3 linked regions of the Notamacropus eugenii genome follow. The protein of the gene in region 1 binds, or shares a complex with, the protein of each later gene. Links are inferred from orthologs where the notes say so. Each region holds a gene or a part of one and is shown in the gene's direction. Other genes may lie near its edges. The genes, in order: NTRK2, NTF4 and FRS2.

The links.
Region 2: the proteins of NTRK2 (region 1) and NTF4 are in contact, whole or in part, in a crystal structure (PDB 1HCF), measured with the Homo sapiens proteins. The link is inferred for Notamacropus eugenii from reciprocal best matches to the Homo sapiens genes NTRK2 and NTF4. Residues at the interface, in NP_001018074.1 of Homo sapiens: Phe291, Glu293, Thr296, Ser297, Asp298, His299, Cys302, Pro304, Thr306, His335, Val336, His343, Gly344, Cys345, Asn350, Thr352, His353, Met379, Gly380, Trp381, Pro382, Gly383; in NP_001382418.1 of Homo sapiens: Gly81, Val82, Ser83, Glu84, Thr85, Ala86, Ser89, Arg90, Arg91, Gly92, Glu93, Leu94, Ala95, Asp98, Ala99, Ser101, Gly102, Trp103, Thr105, Tyr135, Phe137.
Region 3: the proteins of NTRK2 (region 1) and FRS2 are in contact, whole or in part, in an NMR structure (PDB 2MFQ), measured with the Homo sapiens proteins. The link is inferred for Notamacropus eugenii from reciprocal best matches to the Homo sapiens genes NTRK2 and FRS2. Residues at the interface, in NP_001018074.1 of Homo sapiens: Pro498, Asp499, Val501, Ile503, Gly504, Met505, Thr506, Lys507, Ile508, Pro509, Val510, Ile511, Glu512, Asn513, Pro514, Gln515, Tyr516, Gly518, Ile519; in NP_001036020.1 of Homo sapiens: Val26, Asp27, Asp28, Asp29, Gly30, Tyr59, Leu60, Cys61, Leu62, Arg63, Arg64, Tyr65, Gly66, Tyr67, Asp68, Ser69, Asn70, Leu71, Phe72, Ser73, Gly77, Arg78, Ile86, Ala88, Lys90, Phe98, Gln102, Met105, Gln106, Ser109.

The regions. Positions count from the first base shown.
Region 1 is NC_092872.1:75,596,040-75,599,784, forward strand, and holds the start of NTRK2 (BDNF/NT-3 growth factors receptor), read left to right. Parts: upstream 1-1,044; 5' UTR 1,045-1,085; coding exon 1,086-1,297; intron 1,298-3,745. UniProt on the Homo sapiens protein: Receptor tyrosine kinase involved in the development and the maturation of the central and the peripheral nervous systems through regulation of neuron survival, proliferation, migration, differentiation, and synapse formation and plasticity.
Region 2 is NC_092876.1:12,362,328-12,366,072, reverse strand, and holds NTF4 (neurotrophin-4), read left to right. Parts: upstream 1-1,442; 5' UTR 1,443-1,490; coding exon 1,491-1,607; intron 1,608-2,528; coding exon 2,529-2,657; intron 2,658-2,888; coding exon 2,889-3,515; 3' UTR 3,516-3,643; downstream 3,644-3,745. UniProt on the Homo sapiens protein: Target-derived survival factor for peripheral sensory sympathetic neurons. May promote ameloblast differentiation and subsequent reduction in proliferation of ameloblasts.
Region 3 is NC_092874.1:246,987,042-246,990,786, forward strand, and holds the start of FRS2 (fibroblast growth factor receptor substrate 2), read left to right. Parts: upstream 1-1,560; 5' UTR 1,561-1,696; intron 1,697-3,745. UniProt on the Homo sapiens protein: Adapter protein that links activated FGR and NGF receptors to downstream signaling pathways.

The DNA.
Region 1 (3,745 bases):
GACAGAACCTCCCGCGGGGAGCACCGAGCCGGGCGAGAGGCGCCGCCGCCGCTGCCGCCGGACTCCGTCTGTCTGGGTGAGGAGCTAGCTGGCGCTCCTGGGGCCGCTGCCCCTAGCTCGGCTCCTTGCCTGCCCAAAGGGTGACAGCAGGGGGGCAGCGGAGAGGGAGCAGCCCCGGCGGCTCCCCCAGGTAGGACTGCTTGGCGCAGCCACCTGCCCGGGCCGCCGGGGCTGCGCTGCGTGGGGCTCCGCTGCCCTGGCTCCCCGCTCCCTGAGCTGGCACCGCGGCCGCTGCGGATTTTGCAGCATCATCTGGGGGAGATCCGTCTCGAAGCCGCTGCCGCCGCCTTCCGAGGCCGGAGCTCCGCTCTGCCCCAGAACCGCGTCCTCTCTAGCCCGGCATGAAGTCGCTGAGGGGTGTCCCATGTTCTTCAATGTACCTGGGTCTGAGGGCTGCTGGGGATTCAGTGGCCACCCCACGGCCCGCAGCGGGGAGGGGGGGCGGTACTGGAGCATCCCCACTGCGAGTGGCATCGGATCTCCTTTCCCCCAGGGGTCGGGGCCACGACCCACCCCTAGGGGTGGCACTGTGGGTTGGATGGAGTTGTGGGAGGGAGCATGTCCGTCACAAGCAGCGTTGGTCTCCTTCTCCACCTCATCCGTGTATCTGTTTGCCTCACAGCCTCAAGGTGCTGCGGCCATATCTTCCACCTCATATCCTCCTTCTGCTCAAGACTCAGTCCCGCTGTCTTCATCCCGGATTTGGCACAGGCGTGAGCCCCCGGGGGGCAACTGAGTCCCCACCCACAGAAGGCGCGTGGATATGCAACAGCGCCAGCATCTCCAGTAGTGCCCCCCTGTGAAGTGGCTCAAGATGCCCCAGCTGCTCCCGCAGCTTTGAGCAGTGCACACCGGGACCCGACAGACGCACGGAGTGCCGGGAGGAAAATTAAGAACGACCCCGTGGGAACAGGCCGGTCGGGGGCAGCAGGAGGCGCTTGGAGAGGGGGGGCGGGGGGGCGGGGTGGGGGGTGTGTTGGGGGGGTAGAAAACATTTGAGCTCTGGCTGGCTTCAGTGGCTAGGGATGTTGTCCTGGAAGAAGGGTCATGGACCGGGCATGGCGCGGCTCTTGGGTTTCTGCTGGTTGGTTCTGATGTTCTGGAGGGGCTCCCAGGCTTGCCCCACGTCCTGCACATGCAGTACTACTCGGATCTGGTGCAGCAATCCTTCTCCTGGTATCGTGGCCTTTCCAAGGCTGGAACCAAACAGCCCGGACCCGGAGAACATCACGGAAATGTAAGTATTTGCTACTTTCTGTTCCTTCCTTAGCCAAAATACACCTTCCCTGCATTATCCATCACCCTACCCCCAAACTGTGACCTGACAGGTAACCCTCTATTGGTGAACTGCATCCCAAACCTGCATCTGAAACAACTGATTATTAGATCCATCTATCAATAACTTATCCATTTCTTTAATCAAGGATATATCAGGAGAGCAATGTTTTCCCTTTAAAAGGCTTTTTAAAAAATCTATATCTCTATGCCATGTAATATATATTTTCCTCTTCAAGGACCTGTACATTCATTTCATATACAATAGGTGTCTATGCTTGGATTTGCATTACTTTTTCAGATTGTTCTATTAGCTCTTAATAAGCTAGCATGTGTATTAGGCAAAAAAGAAGTTAGAGCAGTGGAGACCCCTGGAAAAAAAGAATTAACTTTTTGAAATCTGTTGTAGGAGGTTAGTATCCCTTCTTTGAGTTTTGGAGTTAACCAGTTTTCATATTTCATTTCCATAGATCAAATTTTGCCTGGGAGATTGTGCCTAGGGACAATTTTGAAAATGATCTGTAAGAGGAGAAGTTCTATGTATTGAAATGCACTTGCTCAAAAGGGAAAATGTGATAGTTGGAAGCCTAAAAGCCTGGTTTGATTTAATTTAGACTTGACTTCCCAGAGATATAATTTTGAGACCATTTAGATTATAAATCTTAATTGCCCATTGAACAATTTCCTGGGAATAAGTTGGATGATAAAACTGTGTTAGTGCACAGATGAGTGTTGCTATAAGAACAGTAACACTAGAAATTTTCTAGTTTTTCGGATTCTGTTGGGAAGCCAGATTATCTATCCCCGCATCCCATTCCATGTTGTCCTGTCAGAAATCACTGCTAAGCTGTACCTGATCAGTCTCTTCTACTACCCAGTCCTTGATCACCTCTGTTAGACTCCTTCTGGAATCTGTAATAGGATCTTTACCCCTTACCTATTTTTTGATTTTTAGACTAAAATTTTTAGATCTCTTGCAAGTAGGGTTTGGGCAGAGGCCTTCTGGCTGGTAATATATATGAATATTTTATGTGATGGGGAGAAATAGTCTTTGAATATCAGTATGGAGTTCTCCTAAATTATTTTTCCTAGGTTGGCTGCTGCTTATTCACATATTCCAAGGCACCTTTATTCTTAAGCTCCATCATAAAGAAAGAGAATTTTCAGGCCTAATTTAGTTGAAGTATTCTGTTAATGAGGGCCAAATGGGAAAGGTTACTTAATACTATAAGATCTCCATTTCTTTGACAGGTATAGTGGACGAAACATAGCTGGAAAGGAAGGCTAAGTAGGCTAGCTATCCTATTGCAGATGCTGTGGAGTTTCTTGGTGTTAGTATAACATTCAAGGTACATGTGCCTTTACCAAAATAGAGTTAAATGTGACTATTTCCTCCTCAAAAAGAGGACAAAAAGTATATGCAATTTGAAAATATATTTTTTTTTCTTGATTCTGGAGTGTCCAAGGGGAAAAGAAGACATCTTGAAGGATCTTGACCTTTAGTTAATATTTTTCAGCTCTTAATTGAAAAAAAGGAGAGAGACAAGAAAGCTGACCAATATTCTATAAGCTTGATTTTCATTGGTATAGAAGCTCCTGAAATGAGTTAATATCTAAAACTTTCTTTTATCCACAATAGTTTTTTTTAATATTAAAGTCTCTTTTAAACAAAGCTATTATGGCTATTATCATTCCACAGAAGCGTTTTACTGATTGCTTTCTATGATTTATTTCCGTTTGGATTTGTAAAAGCCTTTGAAATGCAGGGAAGTGGGGGGTGGGATAGTAAGGACAGCACAGGAATAAAGACTTAGGGAAGGAATGCTTTCAGTTCTATTGGTCAGGTCTGAGGCCTGGAAGTTTTGAAAATTGAGAGAGTTCAATTCTTTGATCTGCTTCCTGATTTTGTATGACCTTGCCTCGATCAGTTAACCCCTTGCTGCCTTACTTTCTTCATCTGTATAACAGTTAATAAGGCTTCTTTGTAAAGTACAATACGGAATCATTTGAAATATATTAGTCTTTGAAAGTAAAAAAAAAAAAAACACACAAAACAGTCCTGAAGGAGTCTGTCTGACCTTCAAAACTTATACCATGTTACCTGGTTTTTCTTTTCACTGGGCAATTTTTCATTTTTATCTCTTAGTGGATACAAGGTCTCATTATGAATTGAGTGACATTTCACTGAATATGTTATTGAACGTCACTGTAGTAAATGTAAAATCATTTTGGAAAAAAAGTCTCCCTTTTTTTAGCATGGTGCTAAATCTCACATTTGACTTTGTGTTGGTGTTGTGATGACAGAAATACCAGGCAACAAAATGTGAGTAAAACCTCAAAAATAAATAACATTATTTTAAAGAATAACTATTTTAGCATCTACAAATGAGAGCAAATATGTAGCCAATAC
Region 2 (3,745 bases), on another chromosome or scaffold:
TATTGGGGTTTGTATAGCTTTTCTGCATGGTGCTAGGTTGATTGGTGGGTTGAACTGTGTTTGGGTCTTTTAGGTTGTATGGTCCCAAGCTGAGGCACTCCCTTGTCTCCCTCAGTCTTTCTCTTCCGGCCTCCTTTGCCCCCTCCTCAGCTACTCTGAGCCACAGGCCTTGAGGAAGTATGACATGGAGAGAACTTTCCAGCCCTCCATCCAAGTGAATCATACATCTGGGTATTGACAATATCCCTAAGTGATACTGGGCCTAACCAGGAGCAACAGGGGGAAATAGAGAGGAGATAAAGACAGGAAAGACCCAAAGGCAGAAGGAGGAGAGAGGGAGAGGGAGAGAGAGAGAGAGAGAGAGAGAAGGAGAGAGGAGAGAGGGAGAAACAGGCAAAGATGCTTTCACAAATTCCCTTCTGGTACTAGGACAGAGCAGTCAAACTATGGTTGGAGTTCGGGGGGGTGGGCAGGGTGGAAGTCATGGAGGCATTGCCCTGGAGCAAGAACTCTAGTGGGGGTAGAGTAGGGCTGGGATGTACCCAGTTCTCCAAATAAACAGCCTTAGCCTCCCCTCCACTGGTGTTGCCCTTGGCTGAGAAAAGGAAGGGGGACCCAGTCTGGGGGGGGGGGCGTGGGAGAACCACAACCTGGGGACACCCAGTTGCCTGCACTGAGCCTAAATTTAGGGCTGGGATGGCCCCCAGGCCAGGGTGTCCAATGTCTGTCACCTAAAAATAGCCAGAGGGGGGAAGGGAGGAGAGGAGTCCCCAGCCTTCTGGGTCTCTTGGTGTCTGTCTGTACCTCCTTCTCTCTGTCTCTCTGTTGTGAATCTTCCTCATCTCTGTGTGTGTCTATGCCTTCATCTCTCATCTGTGTATATGACATATCTCCCCCCCTCACCCAGGACTTCAAGCCCCTTGAGGTCAGGAACACACCACCACATCCCCAGAGCCTGGCTCCAAAAGCTGGCCCTTAATAAATGCTGGTTGAATTGAATTTCTACGTCTCTGCGTTGATCTGTTTCTGTCTCTGCCTGCCTTGCCATTCTGTCCGGCCCACTCAAGCCTTCTCTGTTGCCCTCCCTCCCCCTCTCACTCTCTTCCTTCCCTCCAGAGCTTGGGGCGCCCCCGGGAAGGTTGAGACTGAGCCTGGGGCCTGGCCAGGGAAATGGGGCTCCTGTCTCCCCACTTCTGTCTCTGTCTGGGACCTTATCTTTCCCGGGGCGCCTGGTTTGTGTCTCCCTCTGGGAAAGGCCTGGAATAGGATTGGGGGGGGGGGGTGCGCTGCCCCGACTGACACTTCTCTGGCACAGGAGAGAAGGAAGCTGGGGCCAGGACGCCTGGGTCTAGGAAGGTGGAGGGGGGGTCGGAGTGTCGGGTGGAGGCGGCGCAGGGGGAGGGGAGGCTGAGGCCAGATTCCTCGGCGGTCCGGGTCTCGGAGCAGCCAAGGTGGACGACGTGGGCGGGACTGCTGGTCACTCCCCCCAGATGGGCGGGGTTAGCCTAGCGCCCACCCCCCTGTCCCTGAGCGGGCCGCGCCGCGCGCGGAGCCCGGCGCCAGGGAGCAGCGGCTGCCAGAGCCCCAAGCGCAGGCGGGTGTCCCAAGTAAGGTCCGGGCCGAATGTCGGGAAGGAGGGAATGGGGTGGGATCCAGGAGTTCGGGCCCGCCCTGGGTACAAGGGGGCGGGCCCTGCAGGAGCTTGGGGACAAGACCCGGCGGGGAAACTGAGGCAGGAGGCAGGCAGGGCCCAGCTCAATCTCTGAGCAGTTCGAGGGAGTTACTCAGGCGTACTAGAAGGCTCGAACCGGGATCCGTTTTGTTTCTCTATCCCTTTTCCCCGTTAGCTGGGCCGGGCCTCCTGGGTCGCCAGGGGGCGGGGGCTGAGTCCGGACTCCTGGGTCTCCCAGGGAGGACTAGAAATCGCTCCCACCCTCTCTCTCCCTCCCTCCCTCCCTCCGTCCCCCCACCCCGACTCCTTGCCCGCCTCCGCCCGGGCGGCAGCTCCAGGTATGTGCAACTGAAGTCCTGGGCGGGTCCTGGCCTGTCCCAATTCTGAGGGAACATTCCTAGGAGACGCCTCGGGGACCCAGGAGTCCAGCTCCCGCCCCCTTGGGGTCCAGGCGTCCAACCCCCAATCCCCTCCCCCTTGTGATCTAGGCGTCCCTGCCCCCAAGGGCCCTAGAGTTCCTTGTCCGTGGTGCCCCCCACCAGTACCGCCCCCTCAGGGATCTTGGTGTCCCCATCCCCCCAGCCTGCGCTCCTTGGGGACCCAGGTTTCCTGTCCCCCAGCCCCCTCCGCTGTCTGGGAGATGGATGGGCCGTGAGGGATATAATCTTTTCCAGTCCTTGAGCCTCATCCATCAGCCGCCTCCCCTCCCCGACATCTGCTTCCCATCCCGGCCAGGTTCCCGTCACCTGGGAAGGGGCCTGCGCAGAGGGCCCTGGTCTGGGGGAGGGGATGCCTGGGTCCTTCAGGGGGACACGGGGAACATTTGCTTCCAAGTTTCCCTTCTTTTTTCTCCTAGGTGGTCGCCCCCCTGTCCCTCTCCTGGGATGGCCGGGAGGAGGGGGCCCCGAGAGACCCTGACAAGGGACCCTCAGAGCCCAGGAGCCCCCAGCCCAGGGCTCAGGAGGAGGTGGCCCTGAGAAGTCTGGTAAGCCCGAGACCCTCCCCTGCTGGTCTTCCTTCCCTTTTCCCTCTGTGCTCCGAATTAGAGATGAAAGGGGGCTTAGCGATCAGAGTCCTACGTCTTCCTCTTGCAGCTGGGGGCGTCTGGAGGTCTTGATTGGGCCAAGGATTTGCCCCGCCCTGACATCTCTGGATCTCGAGCCTTCCCCTCTGGCTCCAGGGCTGCCCCACTGACCAGCGCCCCTCTCTTTACCAGGTGGCCACAGAGATGTTTCTCCCATCCAGCCCGCTCCACATCTGGCTCTTCCTCTTTCTTCTTTGGGTCCTACCCGGCGTGGCCCCACAGGAGCTACCACCATTGCCCCCCTTCCCAGGACCTGAGTGGGACCTGCTGTCCCCACGGGTGGCCCTGTCTCGGGGGGCTCCCTCAGGGCCCCCACTCCTCTTTCTCCTGGAGGCCTCCCTGGCAGCAGCCCCAGCCAACCGGAGCAGACGGGAGGCTGGGGCGGGAGCGGAGGCTGGCCGTCGGGGTGAGCTGGCTGTGTGCGACGCCGTCAGCGGCTGGGTGACCGACCGCCGCACGGCTGTGGACCTTCGGGGCCGGGAGGTGGAGGTCCTGGGGGAGGTGCCCGCAGCAGGGGGAGGTCCCCTGCGCCAGTACTTTTTTGAGACCCGATGCAAAGCGGCTGGGGGCCCGGGAGGCGGGGCAGGCTGTCGTGGTGTGGACCGAAGACACTGGGTATCGGAATGCAAAGCCAAGCAGTCTTACGTTCGGGCGCTTACTGCAGACGGGCAGGGCCGAGTGGGCTGGAGGTGGATCCGCATTGACACAGCCTGTGTGTGCACCCTGCTCAGCCGGGCCACGGCTGGCGGGCGGGCCTAATTCCTAATTCGCTGTATGACCTTGGGCAAATGCCTCCCCACTCCCTGGGCTCCGAGGAGCTCCCCTGGCTGACCGGGGTTCATGGAAGCTCATAGCCGAGAACTTCATCTCCATTCAAATTAGAGATCGCCGGGTCCAACCTGACACATTTCACACAGGGGAAGACTGAAGCCTTGAAAGGGAAAGAGACTTACCCAAGGGCACACTGCTCAACCCGGGAAGTTTCCTTC
Region 3 (3,745 bases), on another chromosome or scaffold:
CTTGGTAAAATCCTTTGACTTCTCTGGGCCTCAGTATCCTCATTTGTAAAATGAAAGGGTTGGACTAGATGAGGGGTTCTTAACCCTTTTTTGTGTGTCATGGATCCCTTTTGCAGTCTGGTGAAACCTATGGGGCCCTTCTCAGAATATTTTTAAAGCTATATAAAAAAAATAGGATCACAGAATAAATCACATTGTATTAAACAATAAAATCAATACCATAATGATATATTATTATTTAATAAATAATAAGATTTAATAAAATAAAAATAATAAACAATAAAATGCTTATCAGTGTAGATTAATATTAACAATTTCATATAAACTAGCATTAATGACAGTCACTGTAAATTAATGATAATGTTAATAATGATCCATATAGATTAATATTGATTACATTAATCAACAATGATCAACAATCAATGTAAATAATTATTAATATAAATTACTATTAATGACTACCAATGTAAATTAATATCAAGAATTGCTAACTTTAAGGATGATCAATATAAAGTAATATTTAAAATGATTATATAAATCAACATTACTGATGAATATAAATCAATGTAAGCAATTTATAGCATAAATTATTTACTAATGGCCATCAATGTGTATTAATATAAACAACTGCTCATACTAATAAATATGCATATATTAATATTAATAAGGGTTGGTAGAAATTAACATTAATGACCACCTATGCAAATTGATATAACTGCGATTAATAATGACCAACATACATTAATTAATATACATAAATCACCATTGTGTATTATATAAATTTATTATGTTTATTATATAAATCACCATTAATGATTATTAATAGAAATCAATGTAAATAATTAACAAAAATGCCTATTAATGACCACTGGTGTAAACTGATACACAAATAAACATTAATAATTATTAATATGGATCAAAGTAAACAATATAAGTCACAACTAATGGTCATCCGGGTACTTTAATACCAATAATTGTTCATCTGAAAAATATCGATTTATTATCAGTGGATTTAATAAGCCAAACTTGATGACTCATTGTAAATCAGTAACAACTGTCAATACAAATAAGTATGGATAATCAATGGAACTTGATTTAGGGGTATTATTAAATTGTATCAAAAATTTTTCCAAGTCCCGGTCTGCCGGTTAAGGACCCCTGGACTCTGTGATCTCCCTGCAAGGCTCCTTCCAGCTCTAACTGCGGATGCGAAGCCCCAGGTGCGGGCAGGTCCCCGCTGGTACAGCAGTCTCGAGGTCCAGGCCGCAGCGAAGCCGGGACACTCCACGCACGCCTCCCCAGGGCCTGGGCCGGGGATCCCGAGAGACGCCCAACAGGCCGCTCCAGGGTGCCCCCACCTAACCCCCGCGGGCTCGGCTCTGGCCCCGCCCCTTCCCTGACGTCAGGTGCCGGTCCTTCCCAACCGAGGTCCCGCCCCCATGGGGTCCCGCCCATTTTTCCAAATCCCCGCCCACTCTTCCCCAAGAAGTTCCGGTGCCAGACTCCTTCCCTACTCCCCACCCCCTCAACCGGAAGCACTTCAGCTGAGCTTTGGGCCAGAGTGAGGCCTTGTAGCCGCCGCCGCCGCTGCGGCTCCATCGCGGGGGGTACAGCCGCCTCCTCTAGCCGGGGAAGGAGCCCGAGGGCTCGGCGTCCCCTGAGCCGCGCCCCGCTGTCCCGGCGCTCATGGAGCAAAGTAAGTGGCAGGGCCAGGGCGGGGGGTTGGGGGGAAGCGACGCCGTGCCCAGGTTGGGGGATGCAGGGGCCCTGCCTCCCCAGCTCTCCGGCGGCGGCGGCCTCGTCTTGGGGTCTCCCCCAGGCTGGACCCCGCAGGAAAGCTCGGGGCAGAGAGCTCCCACCGGGGGAGCTCCGACCTGGGCCCGGGGGGGCGGGGCGCCTGGGCTGAAGCGGGGATCCCGGGGCTACGTCTCGTGGGAGTTTGGCTTCCCCCTAGGCAAATCAGCAGTTATTCCAAGCAGGCACCAGGCTTTGTTTGTTTTTTCCTCTTCGTTGTATCCTTAGCTCTTAGCCCCGTGCCTCGTACTTAGTAGGCGCTTAATAAATGCCGGTGGCCCGCTGGGGACGGTGCTAAACTTGGGGGATACAAAGAAAGGCAAAAAACAGGCCCCGCCCCCGGGGATCTCCCCGTCTAATTGGGCAGACAACCTGCAAACAACTGTGTACAAACGAGATACGGGCAGTGTAGAGTCGGAGTAGTTTCGGGGGACAAGCAGAACCCCCTTTTTCTCCTTGATCACCGCCACCTTGCTCAGTCTCCTTTCCCATTCGTAATCCCCGAATGGAAGGTGGATGTGGCTGCTTCCCTGATCCCCCATCTTTGAGGCGATGTGTAGCCCGAGGGGACCGGGAAACTTCTGCAAATCAAGAAGTTTTGTGTTTTGGGGTTCGGATCCCTCGAAGGCCTTAAAGGAGATGTTGCGCTTCCAGCTGTCCTGGACTGTCTTCAGAGTTTGGTTCGGGTTGCGTTAAATTTAAACAGCTCCTTTCAGGAGTTTTACTCACTACACTTAAAAAACAGATTTCTTTTTCTTGCGAAAATGAGTAGTTTAGGTAGGCGCCTGCACTTTGTTGTCGAGTTTCTCCTCTAATCTCTGAATTCCTGTGGCTGCCCAAGAATATTCAGTGATCAGCAGAACACTGATCAATGCAAAAACATTCCTCTCGCCTATGTGGAATGAGGTCTAACTGCATTGTCAGATTTTTGTCAGTATAGTGGGTTGGTGTGTATTCCTTAACCGCACTGCTTTGTTTGAAGTGGGGAGGGAGGGAGCCCATGGGGTGAGGTGTTCCTGGAAAGTGAAAGTGATGTTTTAAAAAAATAATGAAGCATTAAGAAGAATCATCTGAGGTGGAAAAAAGAGAAACAAAAAAGTGTTGAGCTTAATCTGTGGTTGATACACTTACTGAAATTTAGGTCAACATTATAGAGAACTTAGAAGTTATGTGTTCGCCTTTATCTTTGTATGCTTTCTATTTGGGCCTGTTATATATGGACTTGTGTGACTTTTCATAAAACTGTTATAAGGTGTGCAAAAACAGAGGTTAACACGAATTGAATAGATGTGATCATATTTTTCATGGTAAATTTCATTTTGAGGTGATGCTCTGCTTTTGAAACTTTATATAAGTGCATTTACTAGAAACTTCTCTGACAGGCAGATTATAGGTGGAAACTGCTTTTGGTATAATTTTAGAGAGCCAGTAAGTTTTGTATTGATTTTTTTTTTCATTTTGGAAGCAAGACACTAGTTTTCAGTGCCTTGGAGATCGTATTGCACTGCAGATCTTAAATATCATGTTTGCATTTAATCTTTAAAGCTTAGCAAATACATTATAGTCTATTTTCTCACTAATTTCAATATATTTCAAAGAATACTGTGAAAAGTCAACAGCTTAAAGACAGATGACATTTTAAAAAACCAACCATTTGCAGTAAATGTGTATATAGTGTTAAAGAAGGAAAATGCAAAGCCCAGTTGAGTTAATGGAAGAAAAGTTAAAAAATCACAAGTTATATAAAAAGATGGAAGTCACAACAGCATTGAGTTCTTGTTTATGAAGTGGAGAAAGAAACTAAATTTATTTCTGTTATGAATCTGGAACAGAAGATTACTGTTGATGTCTTTAAGGAAGGAACATAAGTTGTATGTAGTTTTTGGGGAGGTTTTTTGTGGGCTTTTTGTGTGTGTGTGTGTGTGTGTGAAGACTGAAGTTTCTGAGCTAT